7 linked regions of the Ovis aries genome follow. The protein of the gene in region 1 purifies or fractionates together with the protein of each later gene. This does not show direct contact. Links are inferred from orthologs where the notes say so. Each region holds a gene or a part of one and is shown on either strand. Other genes may lie near its edges. The genes, in order: BCL7C, ACTL6A, SMARCC1, SMARCD3, SMARCD1, SMARCE1 and ARID2.

The links.
Region 2: the proteins of BCL7C (region 1) and ACTL6A purify together in Homo sapiens (affinity purification with mass spectrometry; 3 studies listed by BioGRID and IntAct, counting the BioPlex papers as one, with this or other methods). This does not show direct contact. The link is inferred for Ovis aries from reciprocal best matches to the Homo sapiens genes BCL7C and ACTL6A.
Region 3: the proteins of BCL7C (region 1) and SMARCC1 purify together in Homo sapiens (affinity purification with mass spectrometry; 4 studies listed by BioGRID and IntAct, counting the BioPlex papers as one, with this or other methods). This does not show direct contact. The link is inferred for Ovis aries from reciprocal best matches to the Homo sapiens genes BCL7C and SMARCC1.
Region 4: the proteins of BCL7C (region 1) and SMARCD3 purify together in Homo sapiens (affinity purification with mass spectrometry; 3 studies listed by BioGRID and IntAct, counting the BioPlex papers as one, with this or other methods). This does not show direct contact. The link is inferred for Ovis aries from reciprocal best matches to the Homo sapiens genes BCL7C and SMARCD3.
Region 5: the proteins of BCL7C (region 1) and SMARCD1 purify together in Homo sapiens (affinity purification with mass spectrometry; 5 studies listed by BioGRID and IntAct, counting the BioPlex papers as one, with this or other methods). This does not show direct contact. The link is inferred for Ovis aries from reciprocal best matches to the Homo sapiens genes BCL7C and SMARCD1.
Region 6: the proteins of BCL7C (region 1) and SMARCE1 purify together in Homo sapiens (affinity purification with mass spectrometry; 5 studies listed by BioGRID and IntAct, counting the BioPlex papers as one, with this or other methods). This does not show direct contact. The link is inferred for Ovis aries from reciprocal best matches to the Homo sapiens genes BCL7C and SMARCE1.
Region 7: the proteins of BCL7C (region 1) and ARID2 purify together in Homo sapiens (affinity purification with mass spectrometry; 3 studies listed by BioGRID and IntAct, counting the BioPlex papers as one, with this or other methods). This does not show direct contact. The link is inferred for Ovis aries from reciprocal best matches to the Homo sapiens genes BCL7C and ARID2.

What each region holds. Positions count from the first base shown.
Region 1 is NC_056077.1:27,484,415-27,488,758, forward strand, and holds the start of BCL7C (B-cell CLL/lymphoma 7 protein family member C), read right to left. Parts: upstream 2,964-4,344; 5' UTR 2,804-2,963; coding exon 2,712-2,803; intron 2,169-2,711; coding exon 2,090-2,168; intron 1,732-2,089; coding exon 1,623-1,731; intron 1,528-1,622; coding exon 1,366-1,527; intron 1-1,365. UniProt on the Homo sapiens protein: May play an anti-apoptotic role.
Region 2 is NC_056054.1:208,327,630-208,331,315, forward strand, and holds part of ACTL6A (actin-like protein 6A), read right to left. Parts: intron 1,767-3,686; coding exon 1,666-1,766; intron 1,042-1,665; coding exon 944-1,041; intron 1-943.
Region 3 is NC_056072.1:52,090,064-52,093,749, reverse strand, and holds part of SMARCC1 (SWI/SNF complex subunit SMARCC1), read right to left. Parts: intron 3,536-3,686; coding exon 3,359-3,535; intron 803-3,358; coding exon 705-802; 3' UTR 1-704. UniProt on the Homo sapiens protein: Involved in transcriptional activation and repression of select genes by chromatin remodeling (alteration of DNA-nucleosome topology).
Region 4 is NC_056057.1:115,438,116-115,442,362, forward strand, and holds the start of SMARCD3 (SWI/SNF-related matrix-associated actin-dependent regulator of chromatin subfamily D member 3), read right to left. Parts: upstream 2,828-4,247; 5' UTR 2,698-2,827; coding exon 2,620-2,697; intron 1-2,619. UniProt on the Homo sapiens protein: Involved in transcriptional activation and repression of select genes by chromatin remodeling (alteration of DNA-nucleosome topology).
Region 5 is NC_056056.1:136,217,979-136,221,664, forward strand, and holds part of SMARCD1 (SWI/SNF-related matrix-associated actin-dependent regulator of chromatin subfamily D member 1), read right to left. Parts: intron 3,005-3,686; coding exon 2,869-3,004; intron 896-2,868; coding exon 533-895; 3' UTR 1-532. UniProt on the Homo sapiens protein: Involved in transcriptional activation and repression of select genes by chromatin remodeling (alteration of DNA-nucleosome topology).
Region 6 is NC_056064.1:40,602,566-40,606,806, forward strand, and holds the start of SMARCE1 (SWI/SNF-related matrix-associated actin-dependent regulator of chromatin subfamily E member 1), read right to left. Parts: upstream 2,801-4,241; 5' UTR 2,756-2,800; intron 554-2,755; 5' UTR 509-553; coding exon 502-508; intron 326-501; coding exon 282-325; intron 1-281. UniProt on the Homo sapiens protein: Involved in transcriptional activation and repression of select genes by chromatin remodeling (alteration of DNA-nucleosome topology).
Region 7 is NC_056056.1:140,602,078-140,605,763, forward strand, and holds part of ARID2 (AT-rich interactive domain-containing protein 2), read right to left. Parts: intron 3,571-3,686; coding exon 3,447-3,570; intron 3,358-3,446; coding exon 3,266-3,357; intron 1-3,265. UniProt on the Homo sapiens protein: Involved in transcriptional activation and repression of select genes by chromatin remodeling (alteration of DNA-nucleosome topology). Required for the stability of the SWI/SNF chromatin remodeling complex SWI/SNF-B (PBAF).

The sequences.
Region 1 (4,344 bases):
GACAGAGGAGCCTGGTAGGCTAAAGTCTAAAGGGTCGCAAAGAGTTAGATACAACTGAGTGACTACACCACATGCGTAGTAATCACCACACGAGACTGTTGTAAGGATTAAATGAGACAGGAAAAGCTATTAGCACGGGGCCTGGCACAGAGTAAGTGCTCGATAAATGCGAATTATTGTCTTTATATTAGTAAAGGTACAAAAGTGTGTGGAATGATCTAGACATGGAACATAGGCCCAAATCAGGGTGTTCTTGGATGGGAACAATGAGGTCAGTAGGGGACAGTTCATGAAGGGCCCAGAGTGCCAGGTTGAGGAGTCAAAGGTCATAGGGCATCACTGAAGGCTTTGCAGCAGGAAAAGAACCTTGTCAAACTTGTGTTCAGTGGGGGTACAACTGGAGGAGGGAAGATCCCGGAGGCTGGAGCCAGGTGTGGGCGGGAGAGATGACAGAGCTGGGGAGGCAGGGGAAGGCAAACACACCCGGGAAGTGAATCTGACCAGACAGGGGACTGACTCTAGGGGAAGACACACGAGGAGGACTCATGCCCAAGATCCTAGCTCACTGGCTGTGTGTGCTTAGGTAATTTACTTAACCTCTATGAGTTTTGGTTTCTCATCTATAAATAGAGATCATAACCCTCATAGGGTGTAGTGAAGATTAAATGAGATAAAACATGGAAAGTGCTTAGCTCAGTAAATACGAGCAGTTATATTATCACTTATTATTAATCACTCTTATGAGTTTCACAATTGTTTTATCGTGCATGCATGTTCAGTCATGTCCAACCCTTTGGGATCCCATGGACTGCAGCCCACCGGTCTGTCCAGGAGATTATCCTGGCAAGGATACTGGAGCAGGTTGTCATTTCCTCTCCAGGGGATCTTCCCGACCCAGGAATCCAACCAAGGTCTCCTGCATTGGAGGCGGAGTCTTCACCAGCTGAGCTATCTGGCTGCTGTTTAGTCACCCAGTCATGTCTGACTCTTTTGAGACCCAATGGACTGAGCCACCAGGGAAGGCCCAGCAAATACTTATCGAGCACCTACTATGTGTTCCGTGGTGTTCTGAGGATAATACCAGTGAACAAGGTCAACGTGGGCCCAACAGTCAGGAAGCTGACATGAGGGGGAAAGAAAGCTATTTAACTAGTACGAAGCTAAATCTACATGAAAATCTCAGACAGTGATAAGCTGTCCACAGAAGCTAAGAAGCCAGAGAAGGAGAGAGACAGTCCCTAGAGGAAGGGCAGGGACTTTCCACAGAACTCAGGGAGGCAACTTAGGAGGAAGAGCTGGCAGAGGGGCAAGCTGGTGGCTTCCACTTTGGAGTGGAGAGGGCTCCTGCGAGGCGCCTGGTCCTACCTCTCTCCTGGCCCAGCTGTGGGGGCTGAGCATCCTCTGGGACCCCTTCCGGTGGTCCAGCAGGTGACACAGGGCGGCTGGGCTGGGGGGTGCCCCCAGGGCTGGGCTCCGTGCCCTTCTGCAGGGAGCCTTCCGAATGGAAACTCTGGTTACTGTTCTCATCTGTGGGGGAAAAAAGCCAAAAGGGTTGGGCCTGAGGCCCCAGTCCCTTCCCTTAATGCCCACAGCCCCCCCCACATCCCAGCATCCCTACCTACCATTGAGATCCAGCAGGATGAGAGGGCCGCCCCCTCGGGGACTGGCGCCTCTGCCCCTCCGCTCCCGGCCTCGGGATCTCTCTGCCCCTCCACCTGCCCTCCGGCGCTCCTGGGGGTTAGAGAGCTAAGGGTCAGAGGCAGCTTTCTGGTTAGCACTTGCCAAGCCTCCACTGTGCAAATAAAGAAACTGAGGCAGAGAGAAGCGGAAGGCCCCGCATGAGGTGATGGGTTGTGCACGCTGGGTTAGGTCTTGAACCCGGGAAGTGGGGGCGGCGGGGGACCGAGGTCTGGTGATGGGGGGGGAGGGGAAGAGGCGGAGTTGCTATTAATTGTTAACATCTGTCTGTGCTCCTGCATTTGAGCTCTGAGTGGAGACTGGAGGTGGAGGCCAGGGTGGGGAGGGGCTTGCCCGAGGTTACACAGAAGAAGGGCCTGGGACGGGGGTGGAGGGGGGGGGACTTGCTCACCTCCTCCTGGGGGTCCACCACTGGCACCCACTTGAAGATACGAAGGGAAGTGTCGCCCACAGTCACCCAGCGCTTCTCCCTGTGGGATAGTGGGGGGACTGGGTCAGAGAGGCCTGAGGGGAGGGCCACCCCGGGAGTGGGACACATCTGGGGATACCCCGAGATGTGGGGGTGATGCCCTGATGGAAGGGGCACTTTTGCTAAGAGGACATAGTTAGAGGGAGAAAACCTGCAGACCCGAGGGCACAGATTGGCAGGGGCTGGGGGGGAGTTGCTTCTAGAGAGAGTGTGACTTGGGGTCGCGGCTCTGCAGACCCCTGGGGTATACACATGGAGAGCTCGGACTCTGAGGCCGGCTGGGGACCTTAGCAATGAAGATCCCCAGCACACTCGCGGGAGGAGTGTCAAAGCTTCAGGGGGCGGGGCGTAAACGGGGGCTCCAGCTTCTGGAGGGCAGGACTGGGGAACACGCTTTGTAGACCCCAGGGTGTAGCCAGAAGGAAGACAGAGCCCCGCAGCTCGGGCGCGCAGCTGGGCGGCACAGCTGGCGAAGCGCGGGTAGACTTATCTGGGGGAGGAGTGGCCCATCGGGTCCCGTCCCTGGCCCCGGGGCAGCGCTCACCATCTCCGGACCTTCTCGATGGTCGCCATCACCTTCTTGATGTCATCCTTGGCCCGGCTCCGGGTCTCGGCCCGCACGGTCCGGCCGGCCATGCTGGCGGGGCTGGGGCCCAGGCCGAGCCCGCGGCTGGGCCGCCTCCCGTCCGGCGGGCTCAGGCTCGGCGCCAGGCCGGGGCGCCGCTCTCTCGGCCCGTCGTCCCTCCGGGAGTTGGTCGCGCCCTCCCTCGCTCCCCCAACGCCTCCGCGAGTCCCCGCCCCGCTTCCTGCCGCCGCGCCCCGCCCCGGCCCGTCCCCGGAGCGGCCGGGCGGCGCGGGCGGCCAGAGCCCAGGCCTGGAAGTCGGCCGGCCCCGCCCCAACCGGGCCCGCCCCCTCGGGGCACCCGGACGCGCAGCGCCCCCTGCCCGCCGCCGAGAGGCAGGTTGGGGGCAGCTGGGCGACTGGACGCGCGCGGCGGGGCTGCGGCCGTGCGTTCAAGCCACGTGGGCGCCAGGGGGCGAGAGAGGGTCAACGTCCCGTGTGAGACCGCTGCGCGTGGGGACGTCCCTGGGACGCTGTGGGTGTGGGTGTGTGTCTCTCTCGCCAGGCTATCAGGTTCTACACTGTTCTACTACCCCTTCATCCATTCATTCAACAGTCTGAGTGCCAATTACGTGCCTGACACTGCATATAACTGATTCTTCACCCACCAAAACGGCTAAAATGAAAACGACGAAACCTACCAAGTGGAGGCGAGGAAGTAGAGCAACTAGATCCCTCATATTTCTGGAGGAGTGTAAATTGGTAGAGATACTACTTCGAAAAGCTGGCGGTTATTCAGCGAAACTATGATCCAACAGTTCCACTCCTAGGTCGTTAACAGCCGACAGAAATGCGTGGGTATGAGCACCAAGGGGCCTGTCCTGGAATGTTCATATCTCTGTGATAGCCTCAGACTGGAAACAACCCATCGACAGGGGAGCGGAAAGTGAACTGTAGCCTGTTTACACCGTGGAGGACCCAGCAAGAAGGCTGAGGTCCTGCTACCCCCAACAACGGAGACAAGTCTCATGAAAGGAGTAGGATACAGAAGTACACATTGTATGATTTCATTTACATGAAGTTCAGAACCGACAACATCAATTAATGGTGTGAGAAATCAGGAGGGCGGTCACCCATGGGACTGGGAGGGGCTAAGAGGAGGGTTCTGGGAACGGGTCATGCTCTGTTTCTTAATCTGGTGCTGATTCCCAGGGCATGTTTACTCTTGGAAAATTCGTTGAGCTGTACGCTTATGATGGTATGCACTTTTCCCTACTTGAATGAAAAGTTTACTTAAAATGGAGTATGTCTTGGTTGATTTTGTTTGAAGCTGTGTTTATCAGCAGACATGCTAAATTTGTGTGGCTGTGTGTGTGTATTTCAAGGGTGTGGCTACTGTGTCTGTGTGTTTTCCAGTGACTATATTCAGAGGGATTAAGGTATAGGAAGGTGGTTATGCCAACATTTCTGGAGCCAAACTGCTGGGGTAAAATTCTACCTCTGCTTGTCCAGTGACCTTGGACAAGTCACATCTCTATTTCCTCAACTACAACATGGGAATGAGTTAATATGTGTATAACTCTTAGAACAATGGCTTGCACACAGTAAATACCCA
Region 2 (3,686 bases), on another chromosome or scaffold:
ATGCTAGATTACAGCTACCACAGTGATTCTCACACATGTAAAATTCACTTGAATATTATAGCAATCCAGGGAGGTACACAGGATAAATGTATAAAAGGTGAGGCTGATTTTAAGTACCTAAATCAAGATCAGTTTATCAGCACTGTTACTTGAACTCTAAATATAGGACTCCTTTCCCTTCACCTTGCAACTAAATTCCCTCACTTTTTGGGGGGGAGGGGGGTGGCGGGCGCACTACATGGCGTGCGGGATGTTAGTTCCCCAATCAAGGATTGAACTCATGTCCCCTGCACTGGAAGTGCGAAGTCTTTAACCACTGACTGCCAGGGAAGTCTCAAAATTCTCTTTTCTTTACAAGGTTTGTCAGGCTTCAATCTTCCTCCACTGAACTATAATTGCTATTTGAAAATTTCAGATGAATCATGTACTTCTTTATGACTTTTGCCAGTGCTATTTTGAAGTACTATTTAAATGTTATTTAGTTTTCAACAAGAATATTACATTATTCTTTGAGGTCAGGACATAGTATTTCCTTGTCTGTTCCTTAATATGCTCATAAAAAATACTTGGTGATTAAATCTTAAATGAATTTATAGACAACTTCCACTTTTCTCAGGCATTGGAGAGGAGGAAGGAAATGACACTCTTTGAACTCATCTAGGCCTTCTCTTCACATTCCCCTTCTAAAAACACAATTTTTAAAAAACTTTGTTAAATTAATGAGCAGAATTTGAGTGTTTATTTCCCATCTCCGTCTCACACTTTCATGCACATCAGTTCCAGTAAGAAATACTGAAAGAAAGGTATCCAAAAAGCAATGGGGAAAACTCCCTCAACTTCTGACAAGCAAGAACTGACTCCTGTCTTCCTGCTGAGCACATCACCTTTAGCAGAACCACAGTCACTCATGAAGAGAAGCTGAGTATTACTCTTTCAAGGATACGCTGTCAAAACGGCAGTTTTGCAAAGGAAGAATGCAGGAATGTTGTAGTGTTCAAACATCAGCTCTGTCAGTTTCTCTCTCTTTGCTCTGGTATTCCACTTGAGAGTAGGGAAAAAGAAATGCAAATTACTTATTGTTTAAAAACTAAAATGCTGATTTATCTCAAAATTCATTTCAGTACTGTATTAACAAAAATGTAAAACATTAAGTTACCATGGAAAATCTTCATAATATCTTTACAACATTTATCTCTATGTATTTGTAATAAATTTAATAAAGTTTATTATCTGAAAAGTAAAATTGCTGCTATGAATTCTAGAAACTACAGACTTTTCAAAGTATAGAGTAATCAGGATTCTTATAAACATGAAGTATTAAATCTTAAGAATGAATCTAGTCACTCCTAAGATTGAGTAAAAAAGCAGATATACACTGCCCTTGAGCGATAAGGGACAATTCATGAACCAAAATGGGAAGCAGTCAAAGGAAATTAGATATTAAATTCCTGGAAAAAAATAGATAAATAACTGCCAGAACCCACTGGGTGCTTTACTGTTGTTCTTTGAGTATTTTTATTATTGAAATAATAAAAGTTGTAAGAGTATTTAAAAAAGAATCCCCCTTTCCCTCATTTTCAAAATATGAATTTCTATATCTCTTTAAAGAAAAAAAGTAAAATGAGTAAAAAAACAACCTAGAAAACTTGAAAAAGTTTGTCTTACTGGTGCTTCTGACATGAGAACAGGATGCAGGCTGGCTTCTGATTTGACATGCATTTTGTAGGTATGATCCAAAATAGCCTGGAAACTATCCCAATCTTCAACTAGAATATAAGATAAATACCTTGAAAACAATACTTAGTTGGAGATGAATACAGCATCTTCTGAGAGACTGTTTCTAATGGTTTAGCACTGATACTTTAATATACAGAACTGACTTATTTTACAGCTCTACCTCATAAAACAGTACTTCATATAGACATTAGCTTTGTCTTCTAGATATGGCTCCTCCAGCCCCAACAGTACCGTAACCCCTAGACCTGACCCAGATAAAATTAAGGTATCTAACACACCTAAAATACCAAATAAATAGTATTCGGTTAAGTACTAACTATAAAGCCCAAAGCACAATTCAAATTGTAAGAGGAAACAGAATTGCATGATTTGGAGCTAACAGCAACAATCTGTATGAAAAAAAGACATAAAAACATTATAAAAAATTTAAAGAAGAATATGTTTTCAATTTGCTTTCCATTAAAACATTACACTGACTGCTTGCGTAAGTCACTAACGAACGTCCAACAGGTAAGCCCAGTGGATCCTTTGCGTCTGCAATCTCACCTAACCTCTCTAAATTACTGACACCATTGATTCAAGAGTTCACAAACTTCTTCTGCCACAGACCAACAAAGAATGGCATCATCTGTACACCATGTTAGTATTGTTATAGGCCTATCAGGATGGGTTTAACTCACTGCTCTGTTTTCTGGGGGCTGCTAGGCCTTCGTTGCTCCCCAGGGGCTGCTCTCTAGTTGCAGTGCTCAGGCTTCTCACTGTCGTGGTTTCTCCGGCTGCAGAGCGCACGCTCCAGGGTGCACGGGCTCCAGCAGCTGCTTCACGTGAGCTTAGTTGCCCTCCAGCCTGTGCCATCTTCCTGGACCAGGGATTGAACCCACGTCCCCTGCATTGGCAGGCGGACCAGTGAAAGTCCAGAATGGGATATTTTGGTCAAGGCACTTCCTCTATAGCTTTAACTTCTCTTTCCCCTTCTTAGCATAAATCTCAATGCCACAGTTAAGAACATGAGACTCACTGGACTTCTTCTCGAGTTTTTTCTTTTCTTGGTTTTCTCCTGAATTTTCTCCTACTTCTCTAACTGTTCATCTCATTCCCCTTCATAGGCACCTCTACTGGTTAAATACGGAGTAACTTTCCATAAGGAATCTCACCCTCAATCCTGTTTTCACCTCCCAAACTCTTTCTGGGTGGAAAAAAAAAAAATCAATTCCATGTCTTAAAATCACTCTTACTTGCTTATTAAACCAGCATCTATACTCAAACACTTTGAACTAATAAACTCTTGCTATGCAGAAAGAGTTAACTCAGCAAACCTGAGAAAGGCCTGCTTGCAAGGCTGACCCTTGGCTGGCATCTGGGAACTTGTCTGGTAAACAGTTTCCTACATTGATATAAAACTTTCCCCAAATAAGAGTAGTTCACTGTGCCTAAACCATTTATACAAACAGTGTGGTTTAAACTGGGAGTCTGGGGTTTTGGAACATGTTGGGCACAAGGTACCTACATGACCAGTCACCAATAAAAACCATGGGTACTGAGTCCTTTTTTTTCTGAATCCAAAAGATAGTTATTTATTCCAAGTATCAGGATAATATAAGAAATAAAATATTTGTAACAAAAAATATTCTTCCAGTTCTTTAGCAGTTCTATAGAGATATAATTTTCCATAACATGAATTTTATGTGTACAATGAAGAGATTTTCTTCTGTAAAGCTACACAGTTGTGTGACTCTTATTACAACATAATTTTAGAATAGTTCCATCACCTCAAAAAGAAACTGTATGCCCTTTAACAGTCACTTCTCATAATATCCACAGCCCCAAGCAACTGCTACTTTACTTTCTGTCTGTATAAATTAGCTTTTCCTGGTCATTCCATATTAGAGTAAGTGATTCCACATTATGTGGAATTTTGCATCTGATTTCCTCCATTTGGCATAAGGCTT
Region 3 (3,686 bases), on another chromosome or scaffold:
GGGTGTTCTGCCAGGCAGGCTGGAGGCTCTCATGGTCCTCACTAAGGATAACATTGGGGGGGGTCACTTTTCCCCATCTCTTTAAATTTTGGTGCGTCCATGTGTGGCAAAAGTCTCATGAAACTTCACCATCAGCACCATTCTTAGCTCAGATAAGCAGAAATAAGGTCACTTACAATGCCTTAAGGTTTGTCCCCTCTGGCTATCCCCTCTGCCCATCAATATTTTTTGGTTCCTATTAACTTAGGATGCTCTCCTTTAAAGCAATAATGACCAAAAGGAAAAAAAAAGAAAAGTGATAATGATTATAAAGCATTATCCATATAAGCATAAGACAAAGCAAAAACAGAACAAAACTGCAGGAGAGCAAAAAATGATACAGACATAGACCACTAACGTTGACAGGACCTGCAGACACACTGTCAGCATACCCCACAGCGGGTCAGGGAGACGCCAGGTATTTCAGGGCGACCAGGGCACACTGGCAGCAGTGGCTTCCCCTTGAGTGCTGGAGGAGGACTAACACAGCAGGTGTCAGAGCACGGAGAGGGGTGGCAAGAGGAATGGGGAAAAGTCAGGGTGCGTGCTTGGGGCTGTGAGAAGAAAACTCCTGAAAGAAACCCAAGGAAGCGGAGGAACACAAGTCTTGTCATCCCCACTCCAGCTGGGGGCACTGGGCGCGGACGTCCCCTGTGTCTTTCGGGCTACGGTGCAGCTGAGGCTGGTGGGCCAGGAGCGGGAGGTGGAGGGCCTCCGTCCGCAGGTGCTGGAGGTGGTGGCTGCTGCTGCGGCGGAGGGGGATCTGCAAACACATCCAAAAGGAACTTGTCATTGCCGGAAACACAAGGGGCCTGGGCAAGAGCCCATGCAGAGAAACAGGACTTATAAAGGAAGTTTCTTTATGGCCTGTGAGGCACGGCTGCTGCTGAGGGCTACATGGGGCGGTCCACCTGAACCTCCACGTCACCACCTGTGTGGCTCCCCTGACCCACGCGGCTCGGGGGTGCGGAGGTGTCTGAGTCCGCCCCACTCTCAATCCCTCCAGACCTTTGCAGAACTTAATTATATTTTGATTTTATCATTATCTTAATGGTTCTCACTGCTAATTCTCTCTCTTCAGTTAAATGATAAGCTCCTTCCTGGACAAGTTCTGTGTCTTCTTTGCGTTCTCTCAGAGTGCCTAGCCTAGCTGGGGACGAAACTGCCTATCAGAAACTGCTGGCTTTTATGAACTGTCTCCACCAGGGTCACAGAGATTGACTTGAGGCAGCGGCCAACAAGCTGGATAGCCTGGAGAGGCCCCGCAACTCCTGAACTGTAGTCTTTAAATTTTTGGCCAAAACTAGGTCAGGTCCTGAAGGGAACAATTAGGAAAGGAGCTCTTTCCTATTTCTACTTTGACTGCTTTAGTGTACAAAGCAACCATAGAGATACTTCAATCCAGGGTTTTAAAAACTTCAAGATTTTGCCAGGGATGAAAACGAATTAAACAATTAAAGCACCTCCTTGCTTACCAGCTAATTCATCCAACCTTCCCCTCAGGAGGTGTCCACCCAATTGCTAAGGCTCTTCAAAGCGTTTTGAAGCCCACCGATTTACTCCCTAGTGTCACCTTTCAGGGGAGCAAAGTAAGGCCTGAAGAGGGAAGTGACTTGCCTGATGAGGCCTGCCCAATGCCCTGAAGCCAAATCAGCAGCTCAGGATCCCTGAAATTCATCTGGGGCAGGAAGTGATGGGGAGCACCCCAAACATTCCACACCCTCAAGGTACTGCACTGAGGGCCCTTCAGGATGGAATCATGTATACAAATCAGGTGTTATCAGCAGGACAGGACAGTGGTAAAGACCAATGATATTATGTTTGCAACGGGGATGGCAGCGTGGTCAACCCTCCCAGTCAGCCAGCACATTTTTACACTGCCTGTGGGGCAGCAAGGCTAGGAAAAGAGGTACGCACTAGACTATGATCTCTGATCCTTGATGTAACAACAAAGATCGCTTAAAAAAAAAAGTTTTTTTTATTTATTTGGTTGTACCGGATCATTAGCTGCAGGATCATGCATTAGTTGCATGCAGGATCATTAGTTGCAGCATGTGGGATCTAGTTCCCTGACCAGGGATCAAACCCGGGCCCCGTGCACTGGGAGCGCAGTATTAGCCACTGGACCACCAAGGAAGTCCCTCGTTTCTCAACAATGATCCTGTACTGACCTGGCTCAAGTGCTGTCTTTCTTCTGTGCACCTAAATCTGTCCTTGTTCCTAGGAGTCCAATGAGAAAGGAGATGCACCTGTGTTGATGGCACTTGTCTCCTGGCCCTAGGAAGTCTCCCAGAGAACTATAGTGAGCTCAAGCCACTCAATAGCCTTGTGTAACTTACGGTAAATCCTACACTACTATCCATTTGTTCATGTTTTATTTTCCCAACTAAAGCTCCTGGAGGCCAGGAATACCTCTGCATCCTAGCTCTCTGTATTGTATTATAAATTCATTATTATTACTTTATGTTTTTGTATTATAAATACATTATCATTTTATTATAAGCTGTATTACTATAAACAAACAGGGGCTGACTCCACCTCATGAGAACCCAGGTCCTCCTCTAAAAGGACCTGGGATCACAGATGTGGCGGGGTACATGGCCACTGTCAGCTGCATTTTGGAATCATTACCATGGTCCACAGGGTAAGAGGGCAGGCCAGGCTCTGATGCACCCCTTTGGAGGCCAGGGTTGGAGCAGAACAAGGGTTCCATGGCAAAACCGAGCTGGTTTTGCACACTGCCACAGACACTGTTCATCAGCATATGTGCCCGCTCGATGGAGCCCGCTAAGACTTCAAACTCCTTCTCAACACAGCCCTGAATACTCTTTTCTAAGTCTAAGCAGCCACTACCAATATATTGGACAAAAACTTATTATTATTCTTGCCCTAAACCAGACTCTATTCTTTTCTTTACACTTACCTCTTTTAAATCCTGAATCCATAAAAGGCTCCTGTACAGAAAATAACTACCAGTAGTTCTGTGTATCGACTCAGATTCAAATTAGATAGCCTCAAACAGGCATGGGTGAGGTGTGCCCTTGGCCTTGCCAGAGCCCTTGGTGTCACGAATGCATCCACGAAGGCTATGGAAGGCTCCTGACTAACTGGGAGCACTCTGTGCTCACCACCTGGGTACCTGTCCACCAGGGATGCTGAAGCGCAATGACCAAAGCCCAGGTTTCAGAAGCGCCCCTCACAGGCCATCCTGTCCAGGGATCTGTCACACCCCAGAGGGAACAAACGGTGCTTGCCTCCCTTGTGTACAGCTCTCCCCAAAAGTCCCGAGGGTAGTGCCTCCCCCCACCTGGGTACTTACACATGCCGTTAGGTGCCGTGAGGGGTACCCGGGGTCCTAAGATGTTTCCTGGGATTGGAGGCATACCAGGAGGGGTGGGGCCACTCCCAGGGGGGTGGATGCTGGCTGCAACGGTGGGCATCATGCGGCCTGGCATGGGCTGCCCAGGCATCATGGAACCTGGGCCTGGTATCTGACCTGTGGAGGGAGAGTCAGAGTACTAAGGTAAGGAAGACAGGAATCAACTCACTGCCCGAGAGTGCTAAATACAGATAGACATCTAACCTCCAAAAGGATTGAAAGATCGACAGAACAATAATCTGGAATAATCTGTCTAGCTTTTAATTCA
Region 4 (4,247 bases), on another chromosome or scaffold:
GCACAGGGCATCGCCAGCCTCGGATTTGCGGAAGGTGCCGCGAAGATGAATATTAATGGCGCCTTTCAACCTTTTCAAAGGATGCTCCTATCCACACGCTCCTCTGCAAGACAGACTGAGGGCCTTCTATCCCCACTTGACGGATGAGGCAACCGCGGCTCAAGGAGAGAGGCAACCTAGCCAAGGTCATGCAAGGCCCTTTCCTGAGGGGCCCGGGGTTTGTGCCCTCTCTGCTGCTTTCGTTTAGTTCAGGGCTGGCTCTCTTGCTCCGGACTTCTGCCGTCTGCCTTCCCGTTTGCCTGCTTCCCAGTCCATTTCCAGGGGGTCCTGCCTTCCCTGCCTTCCCTGCCTTCAACCCACTTTCCTCTCTGGGGCCCTGCTTTTGCCCCTCCGTCCCAATCCCTGCCCCCTTGCTCTGATTCCCAGCCTCTACCGTCAGGGGCTTGGCTGAATTAGCCCACCTGCATAATTTACTCTCAAGGTGAAGGCTTGGAGGTAGGGCTAGAAGCAGCTTGAGGGGCTGAGGTCAGACCTCACCAGGATTCTCCCATTGAGGGGAGGGGGGCTATGAGGCTTGACTGGTGATGGGTGGTCCAGAGGGCTTGGGTAGGTCAAAAGGATGGACATTTTCTCTTATATCTATCTCTCCCTTCCTGTCTGCCTGAATCACCAGAGATGGCCCCATCCTACAGACTACAACTACTCCCCACCCTACCCCAGTGAGGTCAGAAGTCTGGGTTCCCAGGGGGCACGGGGAGGCAGGTGAGGCAGGTGTGCGCCCTTGCTGCTACCCGGGTGCTCAACTGGGATACAGATGACAACCCAGTGCATCGAGTGAAGTGTTCCACAGACTCGTAAAACCTCACTTGTCCCATTCCAGAAGAGAGGCTGGGGAGGGCCCAAGGGGCTGTCAAGCGGAGGGTGGCCAGGATGTGGACGGGGGCCAGGAGAGCAGGAAGGAGATCAGGGAGCCACGGTCACAGACCCTGTGCCCCTGTTATACTATCTGAGCACCACCCACTCCACCCCAGGGGTGCAGCTGCTCCCAGAACAGGGAAGCGCCCTGCCCCTGAGCCTAGTGAATCTCCTCGCACTGCCCCCCTCCCCCGGGTCCCTCCTGCCCGCGCCGTGTCTAACCCTAACCCCCAGCCAACCAGCTGTCTCTGCCTGTCACAGCCTCAGCAGTGAGACCTGCCTGTCCATGTGTCTGCCTCCCCCACCCCACCTGACCCTGTCACTCACACCTCCAGGGTGGTGGCCCATAATGGAGCCCAGGCCCGCCACTCCCTGCCAGCACAGACAGGGCGCTGGGAGTGGGGCTCAGGCCACCCAAGAACTGAAGCAGTGAGTTGACTTAAAAAAAAATCCACATGTATACACTCTCTCACTCCTAGATGGGCCTTTTATTGGGACACCCCAGGCAGCAAGATCAGGGCTGGTCATGAGGCTAACCAACATGGGGACCCCTTGGAAGTTAGCCTAGGGACCCATGGGCCTGGAGAACAGGCTGCTTTGGGAAAGCCCCTTTCCTCATCAGCTGCTCTCCCATTTAATGAGGCTGGTGGTACTCACTGATCTGCTAAGGAGGCCCCAAGAGGGAGGCCTCCAGAGCCCCTAGAAGGCTGTGCTGGCCAGCGGGGATGGGTGACCTGCCCAAAGGGCCAACATTTTAGGGGCTCTGGCCTCTCTTACTGAGAACGTGTCTTCCTTGGGGTCACAACCAAATTTGGCCATAGTAAACCCGACTGCTTCCTTTCTGCCCGGCTTCAGCACCAGTGGCCGTCCCAAGTCCTGGAGCCTCTGCCTCTCCTATGCCACAGCCCTTCCAACCCGTCCCCACCCCCTCAGGCTCCCTGGGCTCACTCAGGCTCCCAGTGGGCCTTCTAAACCTGCCCCTCTGGTCTCCAGGCCTCCCGTCCCTGACTCCAGCTCTTCCTTCACACCTTTGAGGTGTTAAGGACATCAGCTTCTGGTGGTGGAGGCTGCCAAAGGATCCTCAGACCCCTTAACCTGGGGTCTGCCCCTAGAGAGGGCCTCTCTCTGGCCCTGATTGGCAGAGGCCAGGGGCAGAGCCCCGGAGCCCTCAGCCCAGGATGCAAAGGTGGTTCAGCCCCAGAGCTTCCCACTCACAGCGCCGCCAGGGTCACCTGCTCCTTGCTCCCGAGACACTGTCCCAGCTGATGAACAAGCAGCCCAGCGCAGCGATGCCAAGTCCCCCCACCCCCCACTCCCAGGGCAGGGGTCGCACCTGGGCTCCACCAGGGAAAGAAGGGAAGACAACCCATCGGGTTGTCCCCACAGGGGACCCACCCACCCACTTTGGGGGAGACCGTCCCCAAGTTCTACCCCCAAGCCCCTGACAGGAACCCATGCAAACGCCTGCCTTCCCCGCCCCGGGGCACCCATCCCCGGCCAAGCCGCCTGACGACGTGTTCGGGCGCCCCCAGGGCGCGCCGGCACGGGGCTGGGGCCGGGCCCGCTGGGCCGCGGCGCTCCCGCTAGAGGCGTGGGGTGGGGTGTGGGGGGAGCGGGAGCCCCCTCCCGGCCCCTCCCGACCTTCCCTCCATTCAGCCCGAGCCAGCTCGCTCGCCCTCCCCCGCTAACTTTTCCCCCACTCACCACCCCATGGACCAGAAACTCAAAAAGTTTGCTTTTCGTGGCTTTGCGCGCCCCTCCGGCAACTTCGTCCGCGGCCATCGGGGTGGGCTCAGCGGCGCCTCTCACTCTCTCTCTCTCTCTCTTGCTCTTTCTTTCCCTTTTCTGCCTTTTTTTTTTTTTTTTCCTCCAACTCTCCCCTCTGAGTCCTGCTGGGCTCTCTCACACTTCTACTCGAGCGGAGTGGGGAGGGGGCCCCTTCAGGGCTGCCCTGACGGCCCACGGCCCACGCCGCCGCCGCCGCCGCCGCCCGCCAGCCGCCGCGGCTGCCGCATTCCTGCACTGATAAGACAGAAATAGTCCGGCGGCCCGGGGTCCGCCTGTTGACTCGGCGGGGACGGAGAAGCCTGCCTTTCCCAAGCTTCGCCGGGCCCAAACAGCGCAGATAAGCGGCGAGGCTCGCCGGCCAGCGCGGCTCCGGGCCGCTGGGCAGCGGCGCCGCCTGCCCGAGGCCGCCCGAGGGCCGCGGGGAGGCGGCGGCAGCGGCGGCGGCGCGGGGAGGGGACGCGAGGGGAGGCGGCCGGGGGGCTCGCCGGCCACCCGGCCTCTCTCGCCGCAAATAGTTTTTCGCTTAGGGAATTCGCCGGCAGGGAACAGGCCGGGAACAGGCCGTTCCAACTTTGCCCCCAAGTGGCTCCTGCCGCATTTCTGAGGCCCTTTTCCCCAGAGACCTGGCAGGCCAAGTAGGGAAACATTTCGCTGGGAAGGAATCCGGGGTGGGTGGAGGGGGTGGTGGTGGCGGGGGGCGGGAGTCGAGCCCGGAGGAGGCCTTTCTCCGGCACCGGGCGGCCGTGGTGGGTGTGCCCCGGAGGCGGTGTGCCCTGCAGTCCATAGATGTGTGCGCCCTTGTCTCACCGCTGAGTGTGTCTGCACCCTGGTGTGGGCACGGCCGGCGGCCGTGGGTGTGGATGTTTACGTGCGTGCACAGATAAATGCCTCCTCTGTGTGCCTCCCTCCACCGCAGCCTCCGGTACGCGCGCGCGCGCGGGCGGGCGCGGGTGCGTGTGTGGCTGGACACGGTCTGTGTCTCCCCGCTCGGGGTGTCTATTTCGGGCTATGTGAGTCTTTGTCTCTCTGTGACAAAGTCGAGGCAGTAGGGGAAATTTCGGAGAGAGGGAGGTGGGCCAGGCTCGTGAGAACGGGAAGGGAAGCGTGGGGGCAGGCAAGGAACTGGGGTGGACGGATGGGTGGCGAGGCGGAGGCCAGCGCGACCTGACGGCTTTGGAATGGGCTGGGGGTGGGGGCGGGGGACCCGCAGGAGCTGGGGCGCTGGGTATGGTAGGGCCAATCTCTGGACCCCAAAGTAAGCAGGGGTAGGGGTGGGGCCGTGAGGGAGCCCCAGAAAGGGTGGTGTGGAGGGAGCTGGGGTGAAGGAGGGACAGGAAACAGGAGGGGCGAACCCTGCGAGTCCCCAGGCTGGGAGCACTGGCCCCGCCCACGCCCCAGAGGCCACACCCTTCTCCCCGCCTCCGGGAGGAAGCGCCCCAGGGGCTTTGAGACCAGACGGGTCAAGTTTATGCCTCCCGGGGCTGCACTGTCCGTACCCAGGTGAGGGCAGGACAGGGCCCTGGGGAATTTGTTGGAAATTTTTA
Region 5 (3,686 bases), on another chromosome or scaffold:
GAGGCCTGGAACAGACTCTCCCTCCCCACCCTTGGAAGGGGCCAAACCCTGCTGACACTGTGACTTCAGGCTCTAGCCTCCAGAACTGTGAGACCATCCATTTCCCTTGTTTAAGCCACGGGAGCCGTGGTACTTTACTAAACCACTAAAACAGCACCCCAAGCCACTCATGCTGTGGACAAGCCCCTGCCTTGTTCAGGGATCCTTCCTGGCACCCCCGTGCCCTGCTCCTCTGGCCAGGCTGGCTGCAGTCAGCACAGGACAGGCGAGAACTGAGGGCGTCTCACATACTGTGCTCACTCCTGCCTTCCTGCCTGAGCCTGCGGTGCTCCTCTCTCTGCGAGCTCCTCTCAGAGAGCACCCCTCTCTCAAATCCCAAATTCTCCAGAAAGCCTTTCCAAGCTATCCTAGTCTCACCAATCTCCCTTCTCCTTTGTTTCATCTTATTGGTACCGGTGAAATTCTGATAATGTCGCACATGATTTATTACTTTTAAAATCCCATTAGCCTGGTTTCTCAAACAGAATGGATGCTACTTTGAAAGCAGGGGCCGAGTTTTGCAGTCTGTATCCCCTACAACGTGAGCACAGTGACAGCACACAGTAAATACGAGATAAACACTTGACGGTTTCATTTCCATTTCCCTACTAGAACACGCTGAAGGAAGTCTGGCCCTTCGCCTCTCCCCGGCTCTCCACCACACGCTACAGACACAGAGCAGACATGTGCCTCTTGGGCCCAAGTCTCTCTGCACCTGTCCCCGGTTCCCTACCTTGAGGTCCCGGCACTGGGACTGTAGCCAGTCGTTGATGAAACCCTGAGGGTCTCTGGCAAAGCTCAGCATGAACTCCCGCTGGGTCTTCAGCTGATTGATAGTCTCTATTGTCTCATGGATCTGAAAGGAAGAAGGAAAGGAAGTTCGTAACATTTCCACGTTGGGGAAAAGCAAAGTTAAGTGGCAGGCAATGTATGACTTCTCCTTGTGCCACTCCCAACCAAGGAACAGAATGCAGCCCCCAAATGGCACTGCTGCCCAGGGCCCCACCTGCTCTGGCGCTTGGCGCTGTCTCTGTCCACCGCCCGTGTGTGAAGTTTTCCTTACAGTCTGCACCATGTCCACTGTGGATGACACTACATGGGAAATTTTTAATCCACAGCACAAACGGAAACTCTCAGGTAGAAAAAAAGTGGTACACAGGGCTGTCTCTGCAGCTGTGGTCCGTGGGTTTTGTTCGCTGATGCTCCACTCTCTTCCTGGTAATTTCATCTACTTGTATGTCTTCCAGCACCACTGACGGTAACGAGTCCCCAGGCTGCAGATCACAGACCATTTTCTACACTCCTACTGATGCATCTGCTTGACACCTCAAGACACCTTAAACTCCCCAAAACAAAAGCACTACCTTTTCCCAAGGCTTGCTTCTCCTGCTCCCAATCTGAATGACTACAACTGCACACTCCAGCTGAAAACCTGGAGGTCTTCATAACACCTCTTCTCCCTCACACCTCACCCCACCTCTCCATCCAGTGTCCAGATCCCTACAGTTCCACCTCAACACCTCCCAAACCTAGCTGCTCACGTCCATCCGTCCTCACGATCAGCGCCGTAAGGTTAGGCCCATAGCATACATCATGCGCATTATTGCACCATCCCCCACCTAGGCTTCCTTCCCCCAGATCTGACCCCCTTACAGTTCACCTCCCACTATCCTGCCAGTGAGCATTCTAAATAAAACAGCACCAGGCCCTCCCATTTTCAGGACAAAGTATAAACCAGTTTACCCTGCCTCAAAGCGGTTTCAGGACTAGGTTCCTGCTTCCCTCTCATTTCTTCCCCCTGGCACCCCGAGCTTTATCTAACACAGTGAAGAGCTGGTGTTTCTTCAACATGCCAGGTTCTCTGCTCATCTCTGGGCCTGCATATGCCCTGCTCCCTCTTCCTGGAATGTCCTCTGCCCCCCACACCCTCAAGTACCATCATCCTTTCTCCCCTTTTCTTGACTCCCATCAGTTCAGTTCAGTCGCTCAGTTGTGTCCGACTCTTTGCGACCCCATGGACTGCAGCACGCCAGGCCTCCCTGTCCATCACCAACTCCTAGAGCTTGCTCAAACTCATGTCCATTGACTCGGTGATGCCATCCAGCCATCTCATCCTCTGTCTTCCCCTTCTCCTGCCTTCAATCTTTCCCAGCATCAGGGTCTTTTCCAAGGAGTCAGTTCTTCGCATCAGGTGGCCAAAGTATTGGGAGTTTCAGCTTCAGCATCAGTCCTTCCAATGAATATTCAGGACTGATTTCTTTTAGGATTGACTGGTTTGATCTTGCAGTCCAAGAGACTCTCAAGAGTCTTCTCCAGCACCACAGTTCAAAAGCATCAATTCTCTGGTGCTTAGTTTTCTTTATAGTCCAACTCCCATGTTGACTCCCATGTCCTTCAAGATTAGGTTGGGGCATCACCTCTTCCAAGAAAGCCTTTCTGTTTTCCTTTGTGTTCCCAGAGCCTTTCTGGCTTTACTTGCATGGACTATGTCTAATAACGTTCACGGTAATAACAACAGAAGCAGCAGCCGCCATTTGTTTTTATGTGCCAGATACAACGTCATGTCTTCACATACATTGTCTCATTTAATCCTCATAACAACTTTAGAAAAATAGGCATTATGGTTTCACAGATCAGAAACTGAGGCTCAAAGCTATTAAGAGATATAGTTAAGAATCAGAACTTATGTGCGTCTGGCTCCAACCAGCACCAGAGTGCCCAGCATATATTGGGTATCAACATATTTTGAACGAATATCAAAAATCAAAGAAGCCAAGAAGCTGTGATAGAGGGCTGGTGACACCCAACCATCCAGGCCATGGTCCCTACCTTGTTGTCTAGGGTAGCAATCTCCTGCTGGCTGGCAGTAGACAGCAGAAAAGAATTCATCTGGGTCTTCAAGGTATCATCCACTTCCACATCAATGTCATAACAAGCTGTCTTCTTCTGATCATTCGGGTCAACACTGAGGAGGAAACCAAGGGGGCCTGGTAAAGGGCTTGTTCCCTAAGACCTAATTACATAAGTCTTAGACTGAAGGGCAAGGAGTTGACTGCAAAAGGGTACCAGAGACCTTGCTGGTGTGACAGAAATGCTCTGTACTCTCCCTGCGGTGGTAGCTATAGGATGTGCACATCAGCCAAAAATCATCAGATTTTAACTGGGTGCAATATACTGCATATAAGCCTCAGTAGTAATGGTAAAAAGTCAAATGGTACAAAAGATAGCCAATGAAAAGTAAGTTTCTCCTTCCCCACAAAGAGACCACTGCTACAGTATCTTTACTTATTAAACTTAAACTGACTCTGAAAATACATTCAAGTAAACACACACCACACAAAATAAAACGTGGCCTAAATTTAACCACATGAATATAGGACAAACTAGCTTCTACTGACCCAGCGTATGGGTTGTAGGAATTACTATCAGCTGAGTGATGATGGTTCAGGGTCTAGCGAAAGGACAGCTTTACTGGAGTTAATATGGAGTAAGGGAAAGAAGGCAAAGACTATGTAGAGCCAGAAGGCATGGTGCTCTGAGGAGAAAGTGCCTTCTTTCACTATCTGCCTAAACATGCCTTGTTCATCCATCTTCTGAACAGAAAAGCAGACAGAGGTAATGGGAGTTGGAGTCTCAGACTGGAATGT
Region 6 (4,241 bases), on another chromosome or scaffold:
TTAATAGAGATGAACAAGAAAAGTGTTAAACTTGCCACTTATTTCTAATTAAAAAAAGAACTGAGCATAGGAGGTTGGCATTTCAGTAGTATGTTTCTTTAAATGTTGGGGTTGGTTCAAGGTAAGATGCAGAGTTATTTTATTTAGTAGGAAGTGCTGTTTTTTAGCTGAATTTTTCATCCTGTTGCTGTAATGATTGAGTGACTGTCACTGGAAGACATCTGGGTTTTTGTATCAAGGCCAGACTTGGCTATTACATTAACAAGAAAATTAAAACTTACTGTTGCAGGAGCTGGGGTGGGAGGTGGGGCATAAGATGGTCTTTCTGTTTGAAAGAAAATAAATAACTTCTTGTAAACAACTGAGATATAATACTATGCAACAAAACTACCAATGGTCCTGTTTTGAAGAAAAAAAAATGAGAGTATTTTGGAATTCCCATTTGCTAGGGCATTAGTCTCTTATTAATATAGATTGATAAATATAAAAAATGAAACTTACTTGACATTTTGGAAGATTAAGTTCTCAGTTCCTTAAGAATGAATCTGAGACACTAAAATAAAAAAAAGGAAAAAAAAAGAAAAATAAAGATAATCAAAACTCAGCAAGCATAAGAGAATGTTTTTCTAAAGAATAGGGTAGTTTGATATTTCTTTGTAAAATTACATTATCTTCTAGTAATCAAGCCTTTTAAATATTTTACTAGTTCTTTAGGTCACTCAGTTGATCAGAATTAAATGACTAAAACAAATGACAGGGGATATTAAAAAGTAAAATTAGACATGTACTTGCAAGTTTTTGTTTTTTTTTGATACTGAGCCACCTCTTGTATGGAAAACGTTTCGCTGATGCCATGTAAACATTTAATCAAATCGGTAAAAATACAATGACAAAAGAATATGATGTATTATTGGGGCCTACCTCAACAAGGCCTACCAGACACTGACAGCTCCATGACCAGCCACAGCTCTGCCTTCCTTTTAGGATAACAACTTCTTTCTAGTAAAACAGCATTTTACTCCTGAAGGCAGTGGAAAAGGTAACTGGTGTGACAAGAAACTTCACATTCTCTTATAGGAGTAATGGAGCTTCCCTGGTGGCTCAGCGGTAAAAGAACCCGCCTGCCAACGCAGAAGACTTGAGTTCAATCCCGGGGTTGGGAAGATCTCCTGGAGAAGGAAATGGGAACCCACTCCAGTATTCTCCCTTGGGGAATCCCATGGAGAGAGGAGCCTGGTACCCTATAGTCCATGGGGTCGCAAGAGTCAGACACAACTGAGCCACTAAAAAACAACATGATGGTAAACAGCTTCATAACCGCTGGGAATAAATTTCGAGAGTCTACTGGAAAAAACTCTTATTGATCTTTCTTAGCTCAACTCAAAATATATCTCCTCAATGGAGACTTCTGGACCTATCTGTACAAAATTAAATGTTTCCTCATTTGTACTCCAATTTACACAGATCAATATCATATTACACCTGCTAATATGGGGGCTGAATGGAGACAGGGACCAGCTAGTTCATTATTGCTGTCCCAGTACCTAGCTCAATTTTTACCAACTTCAGTCCTAGTAACACTAGCTCAGGACATGACCACACACACGTGAACTTGTTCCTTACCTCACTATACATTACACACCATGTGTACAAAGAGATGAACATTCATTTTCACAAAAAAGGCAAATAACTTCTATGACTACTAGAGTATTTTCATCCGACATTATGAGAAACAAACATGATTTTTTTTTTGCTCCTGTTTTGTATTTTAAGGGCATTTCTGGAGCATTATGAGTAAGAGGCCTGGTGTGGAAAGAAAGAAATCATTTATTTTCTCAATGGCCCAACCTGGGTCTCCCTCTCTCCTTAAGGTACATGCAGGACACCAGAGTCTAATGCAGATTTCCTTCCTGCTCAAGCTTGGGTGGGCTGTCAACATCCAGTAGGCCTTGCTGTGGGGGGCCCTGATAATATCTGCCACAAGCTCCCAGGTGTGTCACATTTTATTAACACTCTAAAATTACTGGTCTCTTTTGCTATACCATAAATTTCAAGAGTGATCTCGTACAATTGTCCACCACTGTATGCATCTCCGGTGCCTGGCATAAAATCCTGGAGAAGTTATTTGTTGAATACCTTATACGGGACAGGCTTACTACTTTCACACCATCTGGTTTAACAGTCACACTACCAACGAGGTGTGTACTGCTATTGCCATTTTACAGAGGGAAAAAAGGAGTCTCGTTCAGTATAAGTAACTTGGCTCAAGACACAGAGTCAGGAAGTGTCAGAGCTGGGTTTCAAACCCAGGCCAAACTGTTGCCCAGCTTTCGCTTTTCACTCCAAGCCACACCGTGAGTCCTCAGATCGCTGCCTGGGCAAGGGGAAACCATCTTCCTGGGGGTGAGGACCACGGGCTTAGCTTGCCCCAAGGGCTTCCTCTGAGACCGATTCGGTTTGGTTTGATGTGTAGGTGCACTTTACCAGCTACTCTACTGAAGAGGAGCATGCAGAAGCGCCTTGACCACTTCCGTGGGGTTAGTGGAAGGGGCACTTCTGGCCGCCCAAGAGGAGCCCCAGATGGGACTCTCTCCCCACCCTCGCTCCGCTAGGCCTCAAAGAGGCCGCAGCCGGCCCCCGGCCCTGGTCCCGCGGCCAAGCCTGAACCCCAGCAACCCTCAGCAACCCCAGCCAAGCCGGGACCCCACGCCTCTCCACCCTCCCGACCCAGCCGGGCCCAGTCGGAAACACTCACCCGCGGGCAGAAGAAGCGCCCGCAGCTCCGGCCTCGCTTCCCTTTGTCCCGCGCACGCCCCGCCCCTCGCGTCCCGAGCTTCCGCGCTCGCACTTTCAACACTCTTCTTAATTCCTTTCCAGGCCCCACCCGACTCTCTTCAGGAAAATAAGCGTTCTCGTGGGGACGCGGTGGTGTTTAGCACAGTCAAGGATTTTTTTCAGGCTCCATACGCTCCTCAAAACTCCCCGAAAGTCAGTACTTTGCCAGCCGGGCGCCGATTCGTCACTCCGGAGAGGGAGGAGGTGGCCCGGCCGCGGGTAGGCCCGGCCGCGCGGCCCCCAGCGAGCCGGAGCGGGGACGGGAGGCGCGGCGGGAGGCGCGAGGCTGAGCCGAGGGGGGGCGCGAGCGCGGCCTCAGCTTCCCCGCGCGGGGCCGGAAGGCGGCGGGGAGCGCGCCCGGTCGCCAGCCCCGGAACCTCTGTGGCCGCGCGGCCCGCGCACCACCCCGGCCGGGCTCAGGCCGCGCACGCCCCCCGTCCCTGCCCCCGAGAGTTTCTGGGTTTTTTTTCCCTTCCGGTCTTTTTCTTGACTCTTTCTCTGGGAGCTGGAGTGTATATACTTCACCAAGCCGAGGATGGAGGCGTGGAGAGCCGGGTTTACAGTTTCCGTCCTCCTGCGCGCCTCCCAGGGCTTCCTGCCTTAACCGCGGGCAAGAGCTTTGGCGAAAGCAGCGCAGATCTTCCCAGCTGTTCCCAAGCGCAAGGCTGGTGTAATTGTCACAGGTTTCTGAGCCAAGGCCCGGAGATGTAAATCTCCTTGCCCCCGGTTGTGTGTCCCTGCAGCGCTGGGCAAGGGGTCTGTGTCCTAAAGCGCCTTGGCTCATTCGGTTTCCTCTGCCAGGAACGACAGTCCTTCACTTTTGGGTTTAAACTCATCTGTCCTTCCGGATCCAGCTCAAATTCTGTCCCTGATGCCCTCCGGGAACTCCCTGCCTCACGCGCCCCTCCTCCTCCCAAATTAACAATTATGGCCTTTACCTAATACATTGTATCAGACTGTGTTTGTTATTCTCAGTACTCTATGAGAGCCTTGAAAGCAAAAATTCAGCGGTCTGCATTGGTCATCTTCCTATAGCCAGTGCCCAGTAAGGCCTTGAACCATTGTAAGAAGCTCAGTAAATCTATATTGAGGCAGGCTATGGTCTAGTCCAGGACTCTTTTCACTAAATCATGACCACGTTGATGTACTAGATAGCAGCCTCTCCTTGGATACATAAACACTTGACCGACGTGCGCCACTGCAGAGAGGGGAAGGATCTGAAATCACTTGAGAATGGTGTTGACGTTTAGAATGACTTGATTCTTCAGCTACCCTTAGCCACCATCCTGGGTGTGCCAGCAGGGACTAGGGTATCTCCAGAAGTATGCAAAGCCAGGGACAAGTGACCCTCTGTCCAGTTCTTCCACCTCCAATATTTTCATGTTCATGATTAGAGATTAGTGAAA
Region 7 (3,686 bases), on another chromosome or scaffold:
GTTCTTCATTCACATACTGCTGAAGCCTTGCTTGAAGGATTTTGAGCAATATCTTGCTAGCATGTGAAATGAGCACAATTGTATGGTAGTTTGACCATTCTTTGGCATTGCCTTTCTTTGGGGTTGGAATGAAAACTGACTTTCTCCCATCCTGTGGCCACTGCTGAGTTTTCCAAATTTGCTGGCATACTGAGTGCAGCACATTAATAGCATTATCTTTTAGGATTTAAAATAGTTCCAGTGGAATTCTATCACTTCCACTAGCTTTGTTCGTAGCAATGCTTCCTAAGGTCCAGTTGACTTCACACTCCAGGATATCCGATGCTAGGTGAGTGACCCCACCATTGTGGTTATCCAAGTCGTTAAGATCCTTTTTATACAGTTCTTCTGTGTAATCTTGCCACCTCTTCTTAATATCTTCTGCTTCTGTTAGGTCCATTCCATTTCTGTCCTTTATTGAGCCCATTTTTGCATGAAATGTTCCCTTGGTATCTCTCTTTTAGAAGAGATCTCTAGTTGTTCCCATTCTATTGTTTTCCTCTATTTCTTTGTACTGTTCACTTAAGAAGCCTTTCTTATCTCTCCCTATTATTCTTTGAAGCTCTGCATTCAGTTGGGCATATCTTTCTCTTCTTTCTCCTTGCCTTTCACTTCTTTTCTTTTCTCCGCTAACTGCAGGGCCTCCTCAGACAACCATTTTGCTTTCTTGCATTTCTTTTTCTTTGGGATGGCTTTGGTCACACCCTCCATAACAGAAGAAGCAAGAATTGCAATCCTATGGCCTCCAGAATGAAAACCACATCACAGAAAACTAACCAAAATGATCACATGGATGCCTTATGTAACTTAATGACCCTTATCCGCCACCCTAGATGGTTGGGTCATGGTGGAGAGTTCTGACAAAACGTGGTCTACTGGAGAAGGGAATGACAAACTCCTTCAGTATTCTTGCCTTTAGAACCCCATTGACAATATGAAAAGGCAAAGAGATATGAAACTAGAGATGAGCCCCTCAAGTCAGTAGGCGTCCAATATGCTACTGGGTAAGAGTAGAGAAATAGCTTTAGAAAAGGGGCTGAGCCAAAGCAAAAACAATGACCAGTTGTGGATGTTTCTGGTGGTGAAAGTCAAGTCCAATGCTGTAAAGAAACATATTGTTAGGAACCTGGAATGTTAGGTCCATGAATCAAGATAAATTGGATGTGGTCAAACAAGAGGTGGCGAGAGTGAACATCGACATTTTAGCTATCAGTGAACTAAAATGGACTGGAATGGGAGAATTTAATTCAGATGACTATTATATCTACTACTGTGGGCAAGAATCCCTTAGAAGAAATGGAGTAATTTAATCACTCCATAATTACTACTAATTACCATAATCAACGAGAGTCCAAAATGTAGTACTTGGGTGCAGTCTCAAAAATGACAGGATGATCTCAGTTCCTTTCCCAGGCAACCCATTCAACATCACAGTCATCCAAGCCTATGCCCCAACCACTAATGCCAAAGATGAAGCTGAACAGTTCTTTGAAGACCTAAAAGACCTAGAACTAACACCAAAGATGTCCACTTTATCATAGGGGACTGGAATGCGAAAGTAGGAAGTTAAGAGATACCTGGAGTTAATAGGAAAGTTTGCCCTTGGAGTACAAAATGAAGCAGGGCCAAGACTAACAAAGTTTTGCCAGGAGAATGCAGCACTGGTCATAGCAAACACCCTCTTCCAATAACACGAGAGATGACTCTACATATGGACGTCACCAGATGGTCAATACTGAAGATGGAGAAGCTCTATACAGTCAGCAAAAACAAGACCTGGAACCGACTGTGGCTCAGATCATGAGCTTCTTATTGCAAAATTTACACTTAAATTGAAGAAAGTACAGAAAACCACTAGGCCATTCAGGTGTGGCCTAAATCAAATCCCTTATGATTATACAGTGGAAGTGACAATAGAGTCAAGAGATTAGATCTGAGAGATACAGTAGGGTGGAAAGCCATATGAAAACCCACTTACAAAACGTAAGATGAAATGTTATAAAACAGAAATGTTATAAACACAGACTCAATGAGGAAGAGGAAAACAGCACAGGAAAGGCAGCACACAGACGCCAGCGTCTGAGCTGGATTAGGGAAGGCTTGCAGATGCTCAATGGGCCTCAACCCAGGGAAGATACAAAAGTGTGACATGAAAGACATCTAGGGTGGATGGAATCTGCATGCGGTTCAATTTGGCTAAAATTGATATGCAGCCAAAGAAGGAGTAGGAAGAGAAATATAGTGAGACAGGAAGGAAGAAATGATACTATAAATGCAATTGGGAGATGCTAGTGACAAAACCTTCTTATTTCTTTTCTGAAAAAACTTTATTTTTAATTTGAATGTTAAGAATTTTTTCTTATTCCTCTGTGGGAATACTTGATTCATGAAATATAGTAACTTTCGTTATTGCAAACACTTTTTTTAAACAAGTTTTATTCGCTTTAAATTTACCTAAGTTTTAAAGTTTGATATTAAAGTAATTGCTTCTTTGTAATTGATGCCTCTGTTTTTTTGCTCAGAAAGTCCAGTTGGAATGTAACTACAAGGAATATTAAGATCCAACACAAAGTAAAATAGGAGGAGGAGAACCAAGGTAGATTCGATTAACAGCATGTGAGAAGAGAAAAAGTAGGAGAGAAAAGCACTGTCTGGAAGGCAAGATGCATTAAAGCATGACTTCCCAACTAACGAGCCCAAGTTGAGTCAGCTGAAGATGGAGGAAGAATACTAAAAGATTATTTTCAAGGTTCAAAGGAGACAAATCTACATTTGCTTTCTCAAGAGTTAGAGCTGTTTCCAGTTTCCATAGATTTATAAAATACTAAGTTTTCTCGTAAGTCCAAGAATCTTAGCATATCTATGACTTTGATGGTTTCATCAAAACGGCAATTATCAAACTGAATTCCATTCTAATTCCACATGATTCAAGTAACGAATTCCTTTTTCCTCCTAGTAAACTCCCAAGTGTTCTTTGGTAGACCTACTTTTTCCTCTAAATGCTATGATGAACAAGAAATTTAACTTGAACAAGTTCAAGAACACCTTTTGGTTGTTTCAACTTCCACTTTTGTGGCTTTTAAGAATCTACGACAGTCTACTTTGACATAAGCTTTTGGACATCCAAAAATTGATGAGAAAAACAGTGAATACAATGCAGATATCTAAACTTACAGGTAACAGTAAAATAAAAATTCACTCTGACTACAGAAAACAGATTACTCACCTGCGACCACATTCTGAATATTTACCAATGTTTTTTAATATTAAGGCAGCTGTTAGTCGGATGTGTTTAGTTATTGGTCCCTCTTTTTCATCCTTAAAAAGGAAAAGAAAAGAAAAAGAATAAAGGTCTAAATCATACAGTGTTCACACCTTCACAGTTAAGGCTTCCAAGGCTTACTTACTGTAAAGTCTCGAAAGACAAGATTTCTTGATCCTCTCCTTAGAGCCATAAGGGCAGCACTGGGATGATTCACAATGGCCTTTTGTGCTCTAGGAGCTGAGCTTGTGCCCCCTACAGCTGGCTGCCTAAATATACCAGGGAGAGGAAGAGACTGTTAACATGACAGTTCAGGCAGACTGACAACAAATGACTAACCTGCCAAACCTGAACGTGGTTATCGAGGTAGACACAGCGTGAGTAA